Linked DNA regions of Cricetulus griseus. The protein of the gene in region 4 interacts with the protein of the main gene of each other region in a pairwise test. Links are inferred from orthologs where the notes say so. Each region holds a gene or a part of one and is shown on either strand. Other genes may lie near its edges.

What was found.
Region 1: the proteins of Kif2a (region 4) and Larp1b interact in binary tests that used the Homo sapiens proteins (3 or more experiments, as listed by UniProt). The two-hybrid records come from large-scale screens. The link is inferred for Cricetulus griseus from reciprocal best matches to the Homo sapiens genes KIF2A and LARP1B.
Region 2: the proteins of Kif2a (region 4) and Mrpl53 interact in binary tests that used the Homo sapiens proteins (3 or more experiments, as listed by UniProt). The two-hybrid records come from large-scale screens. The link is inferred for Cricetulus griseus from reciprocal best matches to the Homo sapiens genes KIF2A and MRPL53.
Region 3: the proteins of Kif2a (region 4) and Fam13c interact in binary tests that used the Homo sapiens proteins (3 or more experiments, as listed by UniProt). The two-hybrid records come from large-scale screens. The link is inferred for Cricetulus griseus from reciprocal best matches to the Homo sapiens genes KIF2A and FAM13C.

What each region holds. Positions count from the first base shown.
Region 1 is NW_023276806.1:109,059,708-109,065,595, forward strand, and holds part of Larp1b (la-related protein 1B), read right to left. Parts: intron 3,266-5,888; coding exon 2,890-3,265; intron 403-2,889; exon of another isoform or gene 241-402; intron 1-240.
Region 2 is NC_048601.1:74,278,675-74,284,042, forward strand, and holds Mrpl53 (39S ribosomal protein L53, mitochondrial), read left to right. Parts: upstream 1-2,672; 5' UTR 2,673-2,837; coding exon 2,838-2,929; intron 2,930-3,069; coding exon 3,070-3,182; intron 3,183-3,278; coding exon 3,279-3,433; 3' UTR 3,434-3,708; downstream 3,709-5,368. Other genes in the region: Ccdc142 (coiled-coil domain-containing protein 142), read left to right, coding at 820-934, 1,213-1,390, 1,513-1,712, 1,840-2,150.
Region 3 is NW_023276806.1:267,182,982-267,188,869, reverse strand, and holds part of Fam13c (protein FAM13C), read left to right. Parts: intron 1-1,553; coding exon 1,554-1,649; intron 1,650-2,848; coding exon 2,849-3,045; intron 3,046-4,247; coding exon 4,248-4,349; intron 4,350-5,888.
Region 4 is NC_048595.1:325,092,521-325,098,987, reverse strand, and holds the start of Kif2a (kinesin-like protein KIF2A), read left to right. Parts: upstream 1-2,856; 5' UTR 2,857-2,943; coding exon 2,944-3,007; intron 3,008-6,467. UniProt on the Homo sapiens protein: Plus end-directed microtubule-dependent motor required for normal brain development. May regulate microtubule dynamics during axonal growth. Required for normal progression through mitosis. Required for normal congress of chromosomes at the metaphase plate.

The DNA.
Region 1 (5,888 bases), on a different chromosome or scaffold from region 4:
GAACTGAACCTATGTTCTTTGAAAGAGCAGCAGGTACTTTTAACTGCTGAGTCATCTCTATAGCCCCCAATCACTATACTTGGGCTTCAGGAATACACCTCTAGTGTAATTTTTTTTCCTTCTCTATTCTGTTTAAAACAACCAGTAAAATGTTCTGTTCCCTAGGGGAGGAAGTAAAAAGGCAAATTAAGTTTTTTCACTGAGAAACTATTTAGCTTTTTTTTTTTTTTTTTTTTAATTTAGGGGAGAGCATGCATACACTCCCCCACAACAACTTACACAGTAGAGTTTACTGAATTTTTGAGAACTTTCAGGGGTCAGCATATTTCAAATATAGTAGATGAGCCTTGATCTAGGAAACCTACATTCTTGACCATGGTCTCTTCCCTGCCAGGAAAGTATAGAATGTATTCTTTAAAGGCAATCATTTGATGATGAATGGACTCACTCATTAGAATCCCCAACTTTGGTGTCTGTCTTTTTTCCTGTTTTGGGTAGCTTCTGCAAGGTTGAACTCACCACCACCAATAAAATTCCACAAACAAGCTCCACCATCTCACTTTTCTAATCACTCACCTTGCAGACCTTTGGAGATTTTAAGATTTTTCATTTCACCATCTGTCATGTTCATGTGGCTATTTCACTGGTCTTTAGCAATAAAGATATGTGAGCCTATCCCTGCCACACCAGTTCAACACAGCTTCTGAAATCACCAATTCTTCATTAAAACTGTAGTATCATCTTGGCAGGCTCTGCACTCCTACTCAATCAACCATGGAGTTTCTGACACGCCTGAATCTTCTCTCTTATCCATCAAGGCTCGGATGTAGTTCTCATTTTCTTATTTCCTGTGCTACCAATTTAACTAAGCCTACCATTCTCCATCTCTTAGATAGAAAGCCTGTCTATTTTCTGTCCTATGGACCACATCGATCTTTTAAAAATAAAAATAGGTCAAGATCATGATGGAGAAATCTATGGAGACAGCTGAACCAAGTTTGTGGAAACTCATGAACTCTAGACCTACAACTATGGAGATTCCATATGTGGGAGACAGTTGTGAAGCTTGGACTATCAGAGGGGCCCCTGGCAGTAGGACTAAGATATAAATCTGGTACACCAGCTAGCTCATTTCCCATGGTGGGATGCCATGCTCAGTCTTAATACATGGAAGAGACTATGTTGACTCCTCATGGGACCCTTTACCCCAGTGAGGAGAAGTGGACTGATGGTGGGCAAGGGGGTGGGAGGGAGAACTGTAGTTGGAATGTAAAATGAAATCAAAAGTTTAAAAAAATGGAATAAATAAATAGAAATAGGATCATGTCACAGTGTATCTGTAAACCTGCACTTGAACTTTAAATTCCACACTATTTAACATGGTCTACAAATTCTATTCTAATCTGACTGTGTCTACACAAACATAATTACCTTCTTATACAGATATGGGCAAACTGGTATCTCACATTTGTCAGTTGTTCTTTTTCAGATCACTGATACTTCATTGACTCCTCTTCCTGGAATACTGTTTCCTGCTTTTTTGCACATTTCATTCTTACCTTTTCTGATTTCATCCTAACTTGACTCTTTTCAGAGGCCCATTCTGACTATCTAACCTGACATCAATATATTTATTCTTTTAGAACCAAGGACAGTGATTTCATCATGGAAATAGCCTCAATCATGCTAACGATCTACCACTGAGCCATACCCTCTTCTATTTTGATGCAGGGTCTTGTGAAATTGATCAGGCTACCCTTGAATTTGTTCTACTCCTACTGGCTTCTCCAAGAAACTGGGATTATACAGGCCTGTGTCCCAAGACCCAGCAATTAGTAGAATATATTTATATTTCTGCTACAAAAGTGATTTCAGATAGACATCACCTCTAGAAGCAAGCATCAGAAATAAAATTAACAGTGTGGGCAAGATGGCTCAGCAAGTAAGGGTGCTCGCTGTCAGGCCTGAGGACCTGAGTTCCATCCCCAGAACCTACATGGAAGGAAAAAAAAATCAACCTCCACACTTGCATTGAGATATGAGTGAATTTGTTCACATTTGTTCACACACACACACACACACACACACACACACACACACACACACACAGACACACACACACGAATGTGTTTTTATGAATAAAAACATTCTATCTAAACTTCATAAAAGCATACTTCCTTTCCCACAGTAGCAGGACAGGCAAAAAATGTCCAGGCTTCAAGGCATTTGACATGATACAGCTGAGGCAGTTTCTCTAAAAAGGCAGTGGCTAAAAGCAGTAGTGGAAATTCTAAGGAGATCACATCTCTTGTTCACAAGCCTGTGATAAGCAGTCCCCTCTGTTCAAACATTTGCTGGCAGCTTTTCTTTCTACAGCAGTTTCATTTCTAAGATCGCTCTCCTATGAGAGGTAACTCACCCTCACTGTTCCATCACTCACTGACATGTTTAACTTTTGAAGCCTCTCTGAAAAGTTTAACAGAAGAAAAAGACCCTGTTACATGCCTACAATTTAAAGACATTTGAAGGCCAGACAGCCATTCTGGTTCTTTCTTCTGCCTTAGCTTAACAATTAGGTAGAGGCCAGAATCTGTGGTAAAAGGGCAAGAGAATGGAACAAGCATATCCAGCAGGCCTGTCCATGCAACTTTTTTATTCCTTCATCAGAAATTATATTTTTCCACAAGTTTTAGTCATTAAATAATATTTTTTGATGATGATAGTATTATTATATCATCACTTAAAATTGTTCCTCAGTTTGTGACTATCAAATATATTTCTAAGAATTTTCAAATAGGGTATAATTTATTTATACTTGAGCATTTATGAAATTAACAAAACAAGCAATACCATACAATCAAAGCAAACTATCAGCAGAAAGATGCTCACCAGAAATCGTTACCTTTATGGCTGTGCGCAGGTTTTCACCTTCTGTCCATAGGTCCTGTTCATAGTAATACAGGCCATCATTAATCACTTCAGCAAGTTCTGATGTAATGTTTGCTGGTGATGTATGGGTGCCTGTTCGATCTCCTCCAGGGTGCTTTCTCATATAAGGTGGTGTCTGAGTTACAATCAAAATCTTGTTTAAATCTTGGTCATCAATTTCATAATCTGAATCATTATCAGACCAATCATTAAATGTCTTTTTCCTTCTGTCTGTCTGTTCCATCTCTTCATCAAACAAAAACTCACGTTCTTCTCGTTCTGGTTCTTCCAGAAAGGCTAGTTGACTTGATGTCTCTTCAAGTACAGACATTGATTTCTAAAGAAACAAAGTAGTTTTAAACATATACATACACATATCCGTGTATATATGTATACATGTACACATAATACATATACTTACACATGTATGCATGTATTTTTAAAAACTTTTTTCCTACATAAAAACTTAATAATTTTTTCTCTTAGGACAAACGTTGTATAAGAGTAGGCAAATTCTAATAGAAAGCTAAGCAGTATCATTCTGGCTTGACTGGAGAAAAACACAAGGTTGAATAAAAGGATTGATATAGACTCCCTAGATTTGGAGTGGCCCTAGATCATCTAAATCATGAGAAAGCAAGGCCTAGATATTAGAATTACTTCCTCTGAATTCAGAGAAACAAAGAATCAAAGTCTTTTAGGTTTAGAGTTAACAAGCTCTTCATGCCTGAGCCCTTGTATCTGACAATGCATGTATATATCTATATGCACAATGTGTGTGCCTGGCACCCACAGGTCAATTCTTCTGCTATCTGTATCTCCTGTGCAGCTGTTTTAATATATCTGCTTTAATGCTAAAATGTATACTCTGTACCTTGTGTTCAGATAAAGTAGCTATGGTTGGCACAACACACCCAAGTTTAGGGCTCTAGAGATCCTGCTGGCAGTGTCTAACATCTAGCCTAGCCTAAATCTTAGCACACCAAACACTTCTGCTTTGCTGCCACATGCCACTCTCTGATCCAATTTCATCTTCCAGTTCATGTTAATTCCATATGTCTAAAACAAAGCAATCCCTTTCTTTCAGATTCCTTAGTCATGTAGATCTATAGTCATTAAGTGACAATGTGAGACAGACAGTATTCTAGGAAAGCTGTCTACATGTGAATATATTTTATAAAATGCAGAACATGTGTGTCATATATATGTCTGATATATGCATATTTGTGTACACATGCATGTTTTGATTACCAATTGTTCTCCATCTTATTTTTGTTTTAATGATTACTAGTTCTTGAATTGTTTATGAGTGCTTTTCCTGCCTTTATATATGTATATACTATCTGTGTGCAGTGCCCGCATAGGCCAGAAAAGGGTATCATATCCCCTGGAACTATAGTTACAGATGATTATGAGCTACTATGTGGGTTCTGGATGTCAAACACAGGTCCTCTGCAAGAGTAGACAGTGTTAACTGTTGAGCCGTGGCTCCAGACCCCCCACTTCATTTTTTGAGATAGAGTTTCTCATTTAACCTAGAGGTTGAGGTTCTGGGTAGAGTGATCCTCCTGTTTCCATCTCCCAAGAACTAGGGTCATGGGTATACAACACCATGCCTTGCCTAACTTGTTTATTTATATATACCTTGTTTATTTAATGGGTGCCTTGCCTGAAGTACCCAAAGGACAAAAGAGGGCATCAGATCCCCTGGACTAGAGTTGAAGATAATTATGATTTGCTATGTGGGTGCTGGGAGTCAAACCTGTGTTCTCCTGGAAGAGCAAGTGTTCTTAGCCACTGAACCATCTCTCCATTTTGATTTTAGGGTCGGCCCTTGCTACATGGTCAGTCTGGGGGCAGAGTGGACTACATGAGATCCTGTCCCAAATAGTCTAGGGGTAGAGTTCATTGTTGGTTCGATATTCAGCAATGAGAAAACAAGAAAACTCGGGTCCAGCAAGATCATGCCTAACTTTTTACATGGTTCTAGAGATCCAAATCTGGAGAAGCAAGTACTTTATCAATGGAACCTTCTCCTTAGCCTAGCCTGAGAGAATACCCGAGAACTCCCACACCTATACAGTGACTCTCAACCATTTGTTAACTCCAGTTACAGAAGATACAATGCCCTTTTCTGGCCTTGGTAGGCACTGAATACATGTGGTGCATAAAGGTAGGCTATGAACCCATACACCTAAAAAAATAAGTAATAGCAGGTGGTAGTGATAGCACATACTTTTAATCTCAACACTCAGGATCTCCCAGTTTAAGGCCAGCCTGGTTCACAGAGCAAGTTTCAGGACAGCCAAAGCTATACAAAGAAATCCTGTCTAAGAAATAATAGAAAGAAGGAAGGAAGGAAGGGAGGGAGGGAGGTGGGAGGGAGGGCCAAATATATTTTTAAAGACTATATGTAGATAATATGGGGGGAGCCTAAGGGATCAAACACCAAACTATTAAAAATGGTAAACTCTGGATAAAACCTCTCCCCTTCCCCCAACACATAGGGTATCTCTGAGTAACATCCCTCGTTGTCCTTGAAATTGGAGATCTACCTGCCTTTGCCTCCAGAGGACTGATATTAAAGGCATGTGCACCCACCACCTGGCAAAACATTTTTCTTTTTTTTCTTTCTTTCTTTCTTATTTTTTCTCAGAGAAAGGGTTTCTCTGTGGCTTCTTTGGAGGCTGTACTGGAACTAGGTCTTGTAAACCAGACACAGAGGCGTGCCTTCCTCTACCTCCTGAGGACTGGGATTAAAGGCATGCTCCAAACCACCAGGCAACCTTTCACTTTTTTTTTCCATTTTTTATTTAAATTAGAAACAAGATTGTTTTACATGTCAATCCCAGGTCCCTCTCCCTTCCCTCCTCCCCTGTCCGCCATTAACACCCTACCTGTCCCATATCCATTCTGCTCCCCAGGGAGGGTGAGGCCTTCCATGGGGGGGGGTTCTTCAA
Region 2 (5,368 bases), on a different chromosome or scaffold from region 4:
GTTTGCATCAAGCCTTTCTTTGCAATTATGAATGGGAAAGGAAGCAGCAAAATGGTCCATTAGTTAAAGGTTCTTGCTGCCAAGTCTGACAACCTGAATTTGATCTCCAGGACCCATGTGGGGTAGAGAGTTGTTTTCTATATATGTAAGCATACCAACACACACACACACACACACACACACACACACAATATTTTTTTAAGGCCTCTAATGAGAACAATTCCACCTTCCATCTGTGGTTAGCTGTTTCTTCTCCCCTCTCTCTAGATTATGCCTGGGTTTCATGTGTGCTAGGTAAGCTCCAGTGCCAGCAAGCTATGCCATCAGTCTCTCTTATTGTATATGATTTCCTTCTATATTTACTGATGAAGCTATTCTGTCTTAATTCTGTCTCACTTTGCACACTATTGCTTCCTACTGTGGAATATATAGGATATGAGGTTCTTTTCATTTTCTCTCTGTGTGGCCACAGAGTTTTCATGCAGTTCCTTTGCTTTGTTAAAGCAATCACAGTGGGTTTGTGACATATATTCACACAGTGTAAAGGAATATCCACACAGGCACATGCTCAACACGCCTGACTTGTCATGTGCCTTTGACTACCAAGAACTGGTAATCCTATGTATTGTGCAGAGTTTGAGTCCAGACCTGGAAAACTCAGTTAAAGGGGTGACACTTCTCCTTAGAAAATGCCCAGGCTCCCACAGTGATGCATGGATTCAGGGTTTTACAGACGCCACATTGAGGCCTCAGATGGGAGAGGCACCATCTTATCAGTCTAACAGTCGAGCCCTTCTCAATTTCCTCTTCTTTATACAGCTCCTGCCTGAAGAGTCGCTGAGTCTCTTTTTCCAAGAATGCCATAAACAAGCCACACAGGGCTTCAAGCTCCACATGCCAAAGGGTCGATACTGGCGGCTTCGACTAAGTCCCGGTAATTTTTCTTTCTGTAGTGCTGGGGATGAAACCCGGGATTTCACACATGCTAGGCAAGCAAGCCTTACTGACTGAACTACACACCCCCCCCCACCCCACCAGCCCACCGTCTCCGTAACTTCCCATGCCCATCTTCTCCTTCCAGGGGTTCCCAGTGTGTGACTGGTTCAAGCCCTCCCCATTGGTCACCATCCTTGCACCTTCTGTGCCCTTCTCTCTGGTGCCCATTGGATTTCCATAGTCTCACAGTCTTTCCTTTCTCTTCTGTCACCCCAGAACATCCCAGTGCTCCTAGCGAGTATGCAGGGATGGTGGTCTACACTGTGTTGGAGCCCGTGCTGCGAGGACTGCAGGGATTGTCACCCGAAGCCCAAGCCCCCGCCCTCAGCCAGGCACTAACAGCCATACTGGGTGCCTGGCTTGATCACATCCTCACCCATGGGATCCGGTTCAGGTGGGAAGGAAAGATGGTCGTGGCAGCGGGAGAATGTCAACAGGGAAAAATGGAGAACTTTTGGGTAGAGCAGTGTGGGGAGGCAGAAATGTCAGGTGGCCACATTGTACCTGGACATCTAGCCTGCAGGGGGCGCTGCAGCTCAAACAAGACTTCGGAGTGGTCAGGGAGGTCCTGGAACAGGAGCAGTGGGGCCTGTCCCGGGAGCTTCGTCAGACTCTGCTGTCACTCAGCATCTTCCAGCGGCTAGATGGGGCCCTGCTGTGTCTCCTGCAGCAGCCCCTGCCCAAGAGTCCAGTCCACAGAAGGCCTCCCTGTTGCTGTGAGTCATTACCCCTCTCCAACCCCAGGTTTACCCAAGTCCCTCCATCACTGCTTTAAGAGACTCCCATCTCACCACTGACTTTCAGCATCACCCACCAACCTGCCTTCCACTTCTGCCTTTCCAGGTTTTTGTAATGAAGTCCAGACCACTGAACTGCCCACCAGCAGCCTCAACAGCCTGGAAAGCTTGGCTCCCCCTCTCCGGCCTGGACTCTCCCCAGCCCAGAACATGCTCCTGCTAAGCACTCTGGAAGGAGGAGGAGGAACAGAAGGAGCAGCAGGAGGAGGAGGAGCAGGAAGAGGAGGAGGAGGAGGACCTAGTCCTGAAGCTTACCTGGCTGGAAACCAGCAGGCCTGGCTTGCCCTGAGGCTGCACCAGCACCCTCGTTGGCACCTGCCCTTTCTTTCCTGCCTGGGGACAAGTCCTGAGCCCTAAGTTGCCTAGGATCAGGAGTTGCAAATCATGGTCTGTTAAGCCCCAGTCAAGGAACTGTATGTTAGGCTTAAAACGGGGAGCTTGGAAGAACACGTACATAAACTACACCGTCTGGAATTGAATCCACGATCACCCTAGTACCTGCAATCCAGAGTAAGGGGCAAACCAGAGCCCGAAATCTGAAAGTTGGCAACAGTGGAGACAAGAGCTAGAAATAGCTAGTCTACAGGGTTGATTCTCAGGAGACAGAAGCAAGCTACATGCTTTCTCTTGAATCCCAGGAACAAGGCTTCCCCGTCTTTATTTTTAGTCATTAGGCTGTAGGACCTTGACAACATTAAGCGTTGGCCGTTCAGCTGCCAGGGTGGGCTTGCTTCCTGGTGGGCGGACAATCCTCATTGGAAGGAGCCAGGATTTAGGATGGTGCTGACCTAGATCTAGCCGGCAGGACACTGAAGCGGGAAAGCTGCAGGAGACGTGTTTTCGTGCAAAAGGGGTTTTTGCACATTCACCGTCTACGCTGTGTGTGGCACAGGGTATGGCTAATTGCTGAAGTATTTGCGGACCGCCCACTCTGGGTCCCTTGGCGGCCCGGGAGGACAGCCGCTACAAGTCGCGCAGAGGCCGCCGGAAGCGGTCCGTTCCAATAAAGCGATCCCCAGCACTACTTCCGGAGCAGAGGTAACCATGGCGTCGGCTTTGGCTCGCGTCGGACTGAAGCCGGTCAAGCTGGTTCGAGTTCAGTTCTGCCCGTTTGAGAAGAACGTGGAGTCGACAAGGTTCGTGTTCTGGGGGTGGGGATGGGGGGCTCGCTCACGGTCGACCCCCTGCCGGAGTGCCAAGCTGCTCGGACCGGCCCTCCCTGCCTCGTGCACGCCCCTTGGTCCCCGGGCGCGCTCACGCTGCCCTCCCACCGTAGGACGTTTCTCCAGGCGGTGAGCAGCGAGAAAGTGCGTGCCACAAACCTCAACTGTTCGGTGGTCGCCGACGTGAGGCACGACGGCTCCGAGCCCTGCGTGGACGTGTTATTCGGTAGGCCTGGCTGGGGGGCCGGCGGGCGGGCGGGCGGCAGCGGAGCCCTGCGCTGCGGACTCCGGGTCTCTGACTCGTCGCTTTGCATCTTCTTAGGAGATGGCTATCGGCTGATTATGCGCAGCGCTAACCTCACCGCTCAGGAAATGTTCACTGCCTTGGCCTCCCACATCCGGGCCAGAAACGCAGCGGCAGCATCCGCAGCGGCCAACGCAGACAAGCCCGGCCCAGTTAATGGTACCCGGCGCTGACACTGCAGAGGACATAACAACCAAATGTTAGCTTGGAACGAAAAGACTGCTGTCTAAGAGAAGGCTGGGCTTAATCACTCGAAGGTTACGCGAAGGTCACGAACAGACTGACACCTACCCGTGCTTTGGGGGCAAGATAAGTAAGGTTAGGTGATGGAGGGTCTGGACAAATTTGAATTTTTCTTTCTCCTCTTCCCTCGCTGCTTAACCATATTTGAGTTTGGCTTCACTTATCACCCAAGTATCCTTTAATTAAATATTTATTACCAAATGAATTCTTTTTCTCGGGTTGTTTGCTTGGTTCGTAGAGACAGACTCGTGTCATGAGCTGACCTGAAACTTGCTAGTAAACTAAGGTGAACTAGAAATTTGAAAGGATTCTCCTGGTTTCAAGGCTCCTGAGTGCCCGGATTATAGACATGCATCATCACACCAGGCTTCATACCTCATCTTTCTTACTTAGTTTGTCTACTCTTTGTATATCTTTAATAGTTTTTGCTTACTCTCATAAAGAATCTGTCAGTTTGGGTTTCTATTTATGGATACGCCATGGCCAAGGCAACTCTTACAAAGAAAAGACATTCAATTGGGGCTGGCTTACAGTTTCTGAGGTCCATTATTTATCATCGTGGTAGGAAATATGTTGCCACACAGGCAGACAGGGTACTGTAGAAGTTGCTGAGAGTTCTACATCTTGATCCACAGGCAGTAGGAAGAGATTACAACACACTTCCTCCACCTACTAATAGGGCCAAGCATTCAAATACATGAATCTATGGCAGCCATTCCCTAAAACCATCACAAAGCTACTCATTTGTCATAATTAAACTACTCTGGACTTAGATCCTACATTTCTGTTTAGTTTTAATCCCAACTTCTATGGTTACCTACTACCAACTTCCTGCATATGCTACCAACATTCTTTCCTTAAAATGGGATCAGCCCCACCTGGTAGCACAGGCCATCCCAGCTACTCAGGGGGCCAGCCTGGTCTATTTAGCAAGACCCTTCTATTCTCATCATTCTCCTGTGTCACCTGCATTGTCCTGCCTGGTGTCATTTTCCCTAATCATTTTTTGCTGGTACTTAATTTTACCCTTCAAGTACATAATGGCTTATTTCTCATAGCACCTGAAATAGTTTTTAGTCTGGCAGACATTGATGTGATCACGAAATCATTTTAGAGGATTAAATGATATAAAAAGTTATCCATTCAAGCTGGGCAGTGGTGGCTCACGCCTTTAGTTCTAGCACTCGGGAGGCAGAAGCAGGTGGATCTCTGTGAGTTCAAGGCCAGCCGGGTCTACAGAGTGAGTTCCAGAATAGGCTCCAAAGCTACACAGAGAAACCTTGTCTCAAAAAACCAAAAAAAAAAAAGAAAAAAAAAAGTTATCCATTCAAGCCACGCTCTTTTAGGAAACTTTAGTTTTAAGCAAATAACCATGTATATTTTATAACATAAAGGCACTGCTCTCTGTGTGTGTTTGCATTTGCAAGTACTGGGTACATATTGTTTCTTCCATTTGTTTTTTTGAGACAGGGTTTCTCTGTATGGCCCTGGCTGTCCTGGAACTTGCTATGTAGACCAGGCTGGCACTTAGCTCTGCCTCCCTAGAGCTGGGATTAAAGGCATGCCCACCATTGCCCAGCTATTCCCATTGTTTCTTTTCGTGAGTGTATGAATATGTATATGTAGGTGCACTTGCCTGTGTTTGCAAATGTGGAAGCCAAAGGTAGGATATTTTGCTCTACCATGCTCCATCTTGTTTTGTTTCTAAGCAAGATCTCTTACTGAGCCTGGAGCTTACCACTTCCAGCTAGACTAGCCAGCAAGCCTTCAGGATTCCCTGTCTCCATTCCCCCAGGAGGTTACTACCCCAGCTGGCTTTTATGTGGGTATTCTGGATCCCAAGTCAGTTTCTCATGCTTTCCCAG
Region 3 (5,888 bases), on a different chromosome or scaffold from region 4:
AAATTAAAGGCCCTTAAGATGATCAACTAAAACTAAAGGCCTCTACAGCACATTGTCTATCTGGGGTTATAGCTTGTGGTTTATGTTTATATTTACACAAGATCATATATAGCCAGGCTGTGGTGATGCACGCCTTTCATCTCAGCACTCAGGGGGCAGAGGAAGGTGGATGGATCTCGGTGAAGTCAAGGCCTGGCCTACAGAGTGAGTTCCAGGACAGCCAAACCTGTTGTTATATAGAGAAACCCTGTCTTATAAACCAAACCACACACACACACACACACACAGAGAGAGAGAGAGAGAGAGAGAGAGAGAGAGAGAGAGAGAGAGAGAGAGAGAGAGCGCTAAAAATTAGAGTTGTTTTTACCTATGAACTTAACAGTTAGAATAGGGATATGGTAGATATTGGTGAGGAGTTATAAGTTTTTATTTGGGCAGGTTAGACTGAAGCAGAAAAGTTAAGGTCCAGACGATGGAACAGAAAGGTTTGTAGGAAAGGAGATTAGCGTGGACCAGTGTGGTTTGCACCTGTGATGGGTGTGGAACATCAAATGTGTCACCAGGAAGCTGTTTTCTTTTGTCTCAAGTCTCTGGAAGATTTAGAAGGCAGCACATTCTGCAGGGGGTGACTGGTGAATTTTCTCCTCCCATCCCCTGCCTGATGAGTATAAACCACTGGTTGAGAATGGAATGGGTATAGAGCAAATTCATGACTGCAGCAGTATACTGTGTATGTGTGTGTTTGGGGGGTGGTGGTGACTAGAAAGATGGGTTTGGCTACTCTGGGTAGATATGTGGACAAGCAGATGAGAGAGACATTGCATTTTTATGTGAACCGTGACCTGCTACAGTGGCGTGTGTGGATGAGTCCTGCAGCAGATGGGCACAGAATGCATTAGTGCACTAAGAGGTTGGGCATAGTAGCTGGAACTTTGGCCAGCCAACTGAAATTCCTGTCTGTCTGTGGAACAGCCTGGAGGGAACTCTAACCCCTCTGTTGTGTGGGTAGGAAATGGAGGATTCAAAAGTCAAATGTTTTATCTCCATTCCCTAGAGTTTATATGAGAACTAACTAGTAAGGCAGTATGCATGTGTTATTATGTTATCTTATGTGTGTAATAATGGGGGCCTGGACATAGCCAATACTTGTGAATGTAATCACAAAAGTCCAGATAACATAGATGCTCAGAAGAAAAGGAGATAGGTCTTGGTTAGTCATTTCTTATTACTCATGTTTTGTAGACTCGTCCACAAAGCCTTATGAGCTAATTTTCTATACTCACCTCCATCCTCTATGGGAATTTTTTCCTGGCCAAAAAAAATCATAAAAATATGATGTGCAACAGACGCCATCTTGTTTGTGATGTCCTTTTTACTCATTGCTGTTAAAATGATTTTTTGGGGAGGGAGGGTCTGCTGGAATATTGTCTTAGGGAATGGACTACAGCTCGGTGGTTAACTTGTATAGGTTCTGGAATGGGTCCCCAACACATGGTGGGTGCAGGGAGAATACTGTCTGAGAACAGAAGGCAGATTAATTTTATGTTTTTCAGGTAACTAAACAAGACAAGAACCTCATAAAGCCTCTTTATGACCGATGCAGAATTATCAAGCAAATCCTGTCAACACCGTCCCTGATTCCAACAATTGTAAGTAAAGATGGCTGCTCTAACTGGAAACCTTGACTGGCACCTTGTATCTATGCTCGTTAGCACTACAGCATAGTACCATGAATGTTACCAAGGGGCCTTCCTAGCTGAGTATACTATGATCCCACCAGCTGCTGTCCTCTTGCCTAGCCCAGTGCTGTACTTAACAGTGTTCTAACAGGAACTGCTGTGAAACAGAGCATACCAAACTGGCATGCTTGGGGCCATTCAACATTTAATTTCATTTCTTGACCCTCCTTTTGGGTGAGGAAAAAACATGATTGGTTTCAGTGTGGCACTGTCTGATTGTTAACACAGCTAAATAAGAAAGAGCCTCTCGGTTATGTGTTGTGGTTAATAAAACTGGTGCTGCAGTCTTTGAAATATTGAAACATTGTTTTGGTTCCATCTGATCACACTATACTAGATATAAGCAGATTTTGTCAATAAAAAGAAGTGCTGAAACAGTAGGGCTATATTTTAAATAAATTTATAAATTTCAAAACGGCTACTCAAGATATCAGCATAGAAAGCAGCAAATAAGAATTTAAATAAATATGAAATTAAATCTACTTGAGTATATTTATAATTTTGTATTTTAAAGGATGTTAGGAGAATGGAAAATTCTGTCTAAAATTGAGGACGAATAATAGTTTAAAGGAGAATATGACTTTCAGGTTTCAAGAGAACCTTTTGTCTGTCATAATAACCAGAAAGGTTAAAGGAGTAACTACAGCTTCTTTGGCCTTCTAAGGGCCCTTCTGAACCTGAACATCCTTAGCATCCTCTGCATTGACTGTGGCCTGCTCTGGGTCTGAGTGGGACATTTTCTGGATAAAGTGTCTGTAGTGCACCCTGCCCTAACCTGGATTTCTTCTGTGAAGCTGGAATACAGAAGGTCTGGGGGTTGGGAGGATCCACTTGATCACACAGTACAACTTGGGCTGTACCCTGAATGCTTGTCTTCCTTGGCCCAGTGGATATAGATAAACTTGGGAAGCACTGTAGCTCAGCACGGATACCTTTTTACTTCCACAGGTTATTAATGAAACTGAGCAACAGCTCTTGGTGTAGTGTCCATTCTAGTTCTCAGCAGCCATGTGGGCTACCTGTCTACTGGCTTGTAGGGTCTTATAGTCCTCTCAGATGCTCAAGAGACATGTAGCACCTTGTGACTTTTTGACTCTGCTTGTGACAAGCAGGAGGAAGAGGACTCTGATGAAGACTGTCCACAGAGAAGCCAGCCACCTTCTTTACCAGATCCAGTGTCCCGCCTTCCTGTTGGTGATCACCTCACCTACTCTGAGACAGAGCCTATGAGGACCCTGCTACCAGATGAGAAGAAAGAAGGGAAGCAACCAGCTCTCTCCATGTCCAACTTACACGAGGCCACCATGTGAGTGAGCAGCCCGAGTGTGGGCTCTTAAAACTCCTGGCTTGGGTACCTTGCCTGGGCATTAAAAACTCAACATCTGTTCAGAGCCTAAAATGTGCTCTCTAGCAGAGAATAGACCTGAAAGTGGCCTAACTGGAAAATACAGAAGACAGAGCCGTGAGGTACCCCACAGTAAAGTCCTACATCTGTCCTAAGGATTGATGTGCAATTACTTTGATCCTACTTTCCTGTTGAATCTTGGCACTATTAACCCTTGTAACCCTTAGCTGTGTCAAAGGAGAGCTGGTCTTTGAATACTGGACCCAAAGGAGTAAGATCCTCAGTGGGTCTACAGTGGCCAGAGCCTTTCTTTTCTTCCTTTGTTACATCCAGATGACATAGTGTACCAGACCAGGAATAACCTCGGCCCCCAGTCAATGCATGGATCTTTTGTCTCCTAATGACTCTCAGTTAAGAACTTTCTGGATTTTCATTACCATTATCACTCTTCAGTTGTTGGCATATCTCTTGATCATATGACCTTTTTGGTTTGTATGTAACATCCCACACTAAGGAGGTCCTCTTTAAACAAGCCTTATATACTCTGCTTAGTGTGTGTCCCAAATGGAGATGAAGGAAAAAACCAAGGACAGTAAGCAGTTTTTAGCCTGGTGGAGAGCTCTCACTCTCTCCAACCTTTGGGTGGTAGTTGTCAAACAGCCATCCCTAAATTTCAGTGGGTGTGGGCATTTTTGAGATTGATAAGATTTGACTTAGAGAAAATGCCTGTATATAAAGTCGGTGTTCAGTTTTATTCCCAATGGTTTTGTTCTTCTTCCCACACTCTAAGGACATATTTTTTTTTCCTCTTGTGTCTCTCTTATCTATACTTGGTCAACAAACATTGGTGTGTATTCCTTGGATGTCTGCTCCATCCTGTCATCCTTAGTATAGCACCATAACTGTTACCCCCCCTTTTTTTTTAACAGCAGATGTAATACACTGTTTCTCTGTGCCCATGACACTGTTAATGTCAGGGAATACTAGGCTTGTGTGCTGCTCCTACACTGAGGCCACATTTACAATGTGTGCCACATTTAGAAAATCCTTCTATCATCACTTTTCAGTCATAATGGGCCCATTTTGCTGATCTGACATAATTCAGTCATGATCAGTCAGTCAGGTCAGTGCTCAGTAATGCAAATGTGTTTCACTTGACACAGGCCAGTCCTTCTTGACCATCTCCGAGAAACTAGGGCTGACAAGAAGAGGCTACGGAAAGCCCTGCGAGAATTTGAAGAACAATTTTTTAAACAAACAGGAAGGTAAGTTGAGTAGAGAGGGTTTTTTATGCTAATTATTTCCTAAAGAACTATAGTTCAGAATGAACTCTGCTTTTGTATTAACAGTGATGAGATGTCAATCCTAGCTAAAGACTGTGTTTTCCCCAATGCAATACCCCATGGTAACATTGTGAGGGATGTTTTATGGGATATTTATGTTAATAGCTGCCAGATATTAACATCAGTCTTTACAAAATGAAAACTGAACTCTGAAAATGTTTTCTATCTGCTGAAATTATCTAAGCTTAAAAATTGACTTGATTTTCAGTCCTTGTTCTTAGACTCTTAGTTCCATAAGTTATTTTCTACCTGTTACATGAATACTTCTCCTTTAAATATATCCTCTAAACTTCACCACCTATCTCCTGTTTGTTTTATTCCAGGGTTTAGTCAAAAGTTCATAGCTATTTTTCTCTCCCCAAAATATTTAGTTGGACCATCTGTCTTCCTATGTTTTTCTATGTCAACCCAGCTGTTACTATACGCTTATTAATTTCCTGTAATTTTTCCTGGGTTACCAACAAAACTGTGTATATGTCACCAGGTAATGAATGTTAGTGTCTTTTAGAGAAGAGACACATCACTTAGCTGTCCTCAGTCTCTGTTTACACCAATAAGCGGAAATGCTTTGTCTCCTTGGATAAGCAAGCATGTAACTTTCCCCAAATCACAGAGCTTTTAAGTGCAGAGAGGAACTGGGTGGTTCTTCCTACTGACACACTGGCTTGGGCTTATTTTCCCACCTGCCTTTCTTTCATGCCTTGCTGTGACAGCATCTCAGCCCACAGGCTGCTGCGAGGGAGTGGTACTGTGCTAAAGCACTTTGAGACATCCAAGCTTAGCCTGCTCGTATCATCAGTTGGATAGCTTTTCCAGGGCTGTCCATTAGCAGTGGGCTCCCTAGGTGAGAAATTTGTAGCTCAACAAAGTAATATGGTGATTAGGTGCTTGAGTACATTTCTGACTTACATTAAAGTTCCTTTTTAAATTATTCAGTTGGAATCTTTCATCAGTGAAATATCTGAGTTGGTTTCTGGATTTCAAGTCCCTACAGTCAGGGCCTGAAAAATAAGTTACTTAGGTTTTAGACACATGCAGTCTTTTCATTAGAGTTCCCAGAGGAAATTACTTTTTGCCCATTTGAACACAGGAGTATGCGTTAGAGGATGAGAGGTCCCAGTGTGCTGCTAGTCCTGCCTATAGGATCTATCGGTAGTAGAATTTGGCATGCTTTTTGGCAACATGGTGGCTGAATTGTTCTGCCTGTTCTTGGCAATAGTTATTGTGTGTAAATAAAAATCTATGCATCAGTATATATCTAAGAATGAGTATGCAGAAGAACATGATTGCAACTCATTCATGACTTACTGCACTCAAGGAACAGCTTGTTTTACTATACTTACAGTCCCTAAACTACTTTAGATACATCTATGCTTGCTTGCTCTGTGTGAAGTAATGTGCCCTCTTGTGGTGATACATCATCTAATAAGAAAATGCTCATTTGTTGAAGCTAAACTTAAA
Region 4 (6,467 bases):
ATTTTATGTGCATTGGTGTTTTGATGTTTTACTGGAATGCATATCTGTATGAGGGTGTCAGATCCTATGAGACTGGAACTACAGACAGTTGTGAACTGCCATGTGGATGCTGGGGATTGAACCTGGGTCCTCTGGAAGAGCAGGCAATGCTCTTAACTGCTGAGCCATCTCTCCAGTCCCCCAATCTGTATATTTTTTTGAAACAGAACTGATAGGTAAATAGCAGTTACTCTTCATATTATTTGACCTGAAAGAAACAATCCTTGAACAAGATTTTTTTTCCACCCTGTCGTTTCAGGATCGGCTGATCAGAGTAGACAAAGTGAGTACACAGATTTACATAGCTGGTATTATCCTCTTATCCTGAAATAGTAAGGACCAGTGTCAACTTGTAATTTTGTATTACTAGACATAAAATTCTAGTCAATAATTTGAGAAAAACCTAAGTATTAAAAAAATAGAATGGTGCTACCTTTTAAAAACTTTGTATTATATTTAAATATGAAAGCATTATCCCACTTTACTTCACTTACAGTCATAAAAACTCTATGATTGGTCAAATGGAAGCTATTTTTCCAGGTTGATCGAATGGGTAACCAACCAATTGAAGACACTGGCTCATGAAGCAAATGCTGGGGTGCTTTCTATATAATCCTGACAAAAATAGTAGGTTTTATTAGCTCATTTATTTTTGTTTTGTTTTTGAGACAGGGTCTCATTATGTAACCCTAGATGGCCTGAACTCACTATGTAGACCAGGCTAGTCTCACAGAGGACTGCCTACTTGTGTTTCCCAAGTGCTGGATTTAAAGGTGTGTGTCAACACTCCCAGCAAGAGTCTTACAGCATTATGTATCTTAGAGATTTGTTATTAGTTGTTTAGTTTAGTAGTTCTTGTTAGGGTCATAGTTTTTGATAGTGGTTGAATCACAATCCTTTCTCCAGGATGTGATGGAAACATATATTGATGCGTATTTTAATGGCTACTCTTCTGAAAGACACGTGAATACAAAGCTCCTGATACAAATCTTGGTTAAATACATATGTTAGACCAACCATACCCCAAACCAGCCTGTTGGGTATGATTTATCCAGAAAGATTTTTGTGTTTGGTTAGTCAAGTGTCTTGGGCGTTTTTTATGCAACAAGATGTATGTATTTTTAGAACACCTTTGTAATATGGATTAAAGGTTAAGACTTGATTACATAACCAACAGGATGCAAGGTATGTGTCAGCAGTCATAATAAGCCAGTATCTTATGAAGGAACTTTAAATTTAGAAGCTGTAACATTGGATTTCTTTGCCTTCCTGAAAGAATTTGCAAGCAAATAACCAGGTACTTTATACCTTAGCACAGAAACATAAGAGAATGAGCCCTACTATCCAGCAGCCCAGAGTTGTATAAAACTACTACTACAGAGAAACAGAAACAAGACAGAAGCAGAACCTTCATTTGGTCTAACCTTGTTTTGAAACAGAAGTTCTGACCTATGATGTCATTTCTGGAACAGAAAAGCAGAAGTCTTTTCTACATTGTTTATCTTTTTTTTTTTTTTTTTGGCATGGTTTTAAGAGGAACAGAGACCTTCTTTTTAAGGAGTTACTTGAATTCACTGCTTCTTGTGTTGCATTTACACATATATATCCAGCTTCCAATTTTTGAAACTTAAGTCTGCATTTTTAATCATTATAGGCAGTTTAACAACAACCAGGGAAAGTAGATCATGGAAATGTACTCCTTCCACGTGAAGTCCCAATACTAGTTAAGTCTCAGGTTTGTTCTTTTTACAATGGTTTTGAAAATTTTCCAATGGTCTCTTGTCCACTTGCCCCTCTTCTTGGCAGACGCAGGTGTTGGCACTCTCCATGTTGCTGATGTAGTCAGCTCAATCAGATGACTGCAGAAAACTCTCATTATTCAATCGTATTCGAGTCTCTGCTCTGGTTTTAAGTCAGAGCTTTTGGCATTATAGAGCAGGGCAAATAAATCTTGATGCTACAGCAGCGATAGGCTACCAGGAGAGGCCCGCAGGATCTTAAGTACAAGTTACACAGCGGGGGGCTTCTCTTTGAATGACAATGAACTGGGAGATTAGGGGCAAAGGAAGAAGGTCTTCATTCCCACTTAGGGAGGAGGACACCTTTTCTTTCCTCCATAACTGGATGGGAAGCCTGAATCAGGCATGCCTTGGCCTTAGGAAGGTTACTTGGGCCGGCCACCTCAGAGTGGCACGCAGTTCTGACACCCACATAAATACACTATGGGTCATGTAATTGGCCGGTCCCTTCAGCCCCGCGCGCCCAGAAGCCTCGACAACCCGTGGCCCATAACCCATTCCCCCCGCAGCGTCAAGGCGAAGCGACGCCGGGTGGCATGGCGAGTGGATTTCCCGCGCCCCGGGTGGCATGGCGAGTGGATTTCCCGCGCCCCCTCGGCCGCGCGCTGAACCCGACGCGGCGCGGGCTAGTACCGGTCCGAGCCGCGCGCGCCCCCGTCCCGGGGAGGGCTAGAACCGGCCGCCTCCAGGCCGCAGCTGAGCTGGGCGGGGCCGCCTGCAGCCCCGAGCGCGCGGGCGCCGGGCAGGAAGACGCGGGCGGCCGTGAGTGCGCAGGCGCGCGGCGCCCCGCCTCCCCAGCGTCGGTCCGGGCGGGCGGCGCGAGCCCTCCCATTCTTCCCCCGCGCGCGCCTCACGGCTGCGGCCCTCGCTTCAACCGACGCCCGCGTGCGCGCGCCCGCCGCCGCCGCCTCCCGCCCGCAGCGCCCGGGCCTCCGCCCGTTCGTCCGCCGCCGCTCGCCGCCGGCCCCCGCTCGAGTTCACGCTGCCTCCCGGGCCGGCGCGGCCGCGGGCCACCGCTGCCCCGCCCGCCGCCATCCCGCCCCCTCCCCGCCTGTTCCGCCCGCCCGCTGCCACTGCCGCCGCTGCCGCCGCTCCGGATGAGGTGATGGCAACGGCCAACTTCGGCAAGATCCAGATCGGGATTTACGTGGAAATCAAGCGCAGCGATGGTGAGCCGCGCCGGGGCCGGCCAGCCTTTTGATTGCTCCGCGGGGTTGTGGGGGCGGGAAGGCGGCGGCCCTGGCGCTTTTGTGTGCGGCGTTGTGCGGGTGAGGCGGGCGTGGGGTCCGCCCGGGCGCCGCTGCAATGCGGGGGGCCGGGCGGGGGCCGCTCCCGGCCGGCTTCACCATCCTCCCCGGGGACTCCGTTAGAGATGACCGTGCCTCGCGCTCCCCCCGGCTCTGCCTTTTACCGGTCTCTGCATAGATGGCGTGGCCAGGGTGGGAGCGTGAAGATCTGGGGGATTCGGCACCGAGAGACCCGACTGCCAGCCAGAGGCCGTTGGGCAGCCATCCGGTTGTTTTTAACTGCTACCCGGTTGTCAGGCCTCTCTGCCTCTCCTCTGCAAGCGTGCTGCCTTCCTTTTTGCTCGTCCCTGTCCAGGGAGAAGGGTGCAGAGAGAGAGAATGCTGCACTCGGCCATGAAAAGGGGTGGGGGAGCAACGGAAAGAAATACTCAATACGGTTCGCCAAGGTGATGGTACTGAAAGGGATGGAGAGAGGGTGGACGAAGTCCACTCGAGGCACCACTGAGAGGGTGGGGGTGGGCGACCGGATGTTGATATTTTCACACCCTCGGGACGTAACTGAGAAAAGTGTAAGGCGAGGTGAAGACACATGTTTAATTCTTTTTTTTTTTTTTTTTTTTTTTTTTGAGACCCGTAGGCTTTTAGACGTTTCTGTGGGTTCCTCTTGGGGGGAAATGTTTTATGTCACTGACTTCGAAGTGTAAAGTAGAAGTCATTTATAGTGTAAAGGAAATAATGTGTACAGGGGGGATGAATGAAACTGTTTTTCCTTAATTCGAATATTGGAAAAACGGATTAACGAGAATTGTGAGTTGATTGTTGATTGCATCTCCCTTATAACCAATTCTTTTTACTTACTTTTGACCTATTCACCATCCTCTAATGCCCTAGCTAATAACGGCATGGCTATGTCACCCACTTCTTGGTTTCTACCAAATTCGACCAGGTTATGTCAATGATGTGAGTAGATTGAATTTCCTGTTACTTGTATTTGGAAGACTCTGAATCGTTAATGATTTTTCCCTCCATCTTTGCATTTGAGGTAATTTGTGGTAACTGGAAGCATCACTATTTTGTGTATGAGAAAATAAACTTGTAGAGCTGTAGAAGTTACCAAAGGGGTAAGAGATGCTTCATTTACTTGGATTAGGGTTTGCTTTATTATTTCTCTGCAGATTACTTTCTTGTAATCATTATGTTGTTTCATGCCATTTTATTTTTTGGTGAATGTGGGTTGGCTGTATATCAACATATATAGGCTTTATGTGTTAACTTAAAACTTGGAAGCATAATAAAATATAAGTTTTTGCAAGTCTTAACTATGGCTGGTAACTGAAACCTTCACAAAAATAACATGACAATTGAGATTTCTGTTACAGTTTTTTGGAGATGCCATTTTTTAAAGTGTATTGGACTTGAAGTAATTTTGGTACTTTGTTGATTCTAGGATATAGGATTATAATATTCCTTCTGCCATTAGTTTCAGCCTATACCAGAAATTCTGACACACAACAGCTTTATATTCCAAGTCAGAGTAATCTAGACAACATTCTCAAAAGTGACTTTTCACAAGAAGTAGTGAATGTCAGTACAGTGTGTACTGCCCTAACCTATAGGCTGTAAATATTTAAGTGCCTTGGATACAAAAGGGTAAAGGTAGGTAACTTTTAAAAACGTTTAAAATCTCTTATTTTTGGAGACCTTATGTCTCAGGCTGGCCTTGAACTTGTTTTATAGCTGAGGACCTTGAATGCCTCCTGCCTCCACCTTCTGAGTGCCAATTTATGAGGTTCTGGGGATCAAGCATTCACCAGTTGAGCTTCACCTTCAGCTCTGAAAAGTGGGTAACCTTTAAAGGAAATAATTAGCATTCAAATTGTTTTGCAGTTGGATTTCATGTCTAGAAGATTCCCTCAAGCTTTTCCTCTTCACTTTAAGGGGGTGTTTTTGTTCCCTTCTGTAACAGGTCAGTGATTATATAAAATACCAGTGGTTATTGCAATAAATAAATGAACAAACAAACAAGCCTTGTGATTGAATTACCACTGATATCCTGAGACGTGACATCATAGGAGAAAAGAAGGGCTACTCAGCCTGCTGTTAACTGGGCAATACTGTGTTGCATACATGATCTTTGTCCCTGACAAGCAATTCCTATCAATAATAGTTATATAGTAAAAGATTCCAAAGGCCAAATTGTAAACCAGAATGGGCTTATTCGTGTGTTTGAAGATTCTAATCCCAGTAAGTCTACACTGATGGTTAAAACCAGACTACCAGTGGGCTTCTGAATTCTTAAGTCATCCTAAGTCATGTCATTCATGAGACAGCATATTTCCTTAAGCACTGATATTTAGAACTGTACTGCCTAATAAGTTTTCAGACTACATGGCTTAAGTAGATGATCAAAGATACATTCAAAGATACACTCATTTCATCCAGAGCCAGGATGTCACAGGATTAAAATACTTAACGACCTCAGAAACTGCTTGAATACATGTGCATCACCCCACACACCCATGTGGGTACCAGTTGAGTGCATTGCTCATTAGTGGATTTTTGTTTTCAAACATTATGTTAGGGCTGGTAAAAAAGTTCAGCCTGATGACCTGAGTTCAGACTCCAGGATATTCATCATGGGAGGAGAGAACCAGTTCTTGCATTATTTTAATTAGCCAGCCATCTGAACTTTTATCAGAAAAGAAAACCCTCTGTCTGCTCATTTCTGTACTACCACCTTCCCACTGTGACTCCCCTTCCCTGGTGGCCTCTTAGTTTAGGGTCCTCAGGTTGAGTTTTTTGTTTTGTTTTATTATGCCCCCCCCTCCAATATTCTAAGGTTAGATATTCTAAGGTTAGATATGGCAGGAATTTAGCTTAAACTCCAGTGGTTGCTTCCAATCACAGGTAAACTGGTATGAGATTGGAATGGTTTCTTAAAATAGTCACATTTTCTTGCTTATGTCTTAATATTACTTGATTTAGGTCCGTTTTAGGATTCAGTGACTCTAAAAAAAACTACAATTATACAGATGTATAGTTAGATAGCCTGTATTGGAAAAAAATTGTTTAAAGCTGCACTATTAAAACAAATTCTGTGGTAACAGTGACTGGCTTCCCTAAAGGAGAAAGGGGCATGGCTGAGAAATAGTAAATATTTGAAAAGTGCAGCTGAGGTGGCATTGGTCTCTTAGTTGATGTGTTACCTAATGGGATTGTTTCAAATTTCAACTAAAAATCTTGGAAGATTTAATTCTCATTTTATACAAATGGAAACTGCGTCATGGGTCAGCATGAGATCACAGCTTGTCAGTGGCAGTTAAGAACCTGCTTTGCATAGCATAGAAACGTGAGTACCAAGAATTATAACACGAAGGAAGAA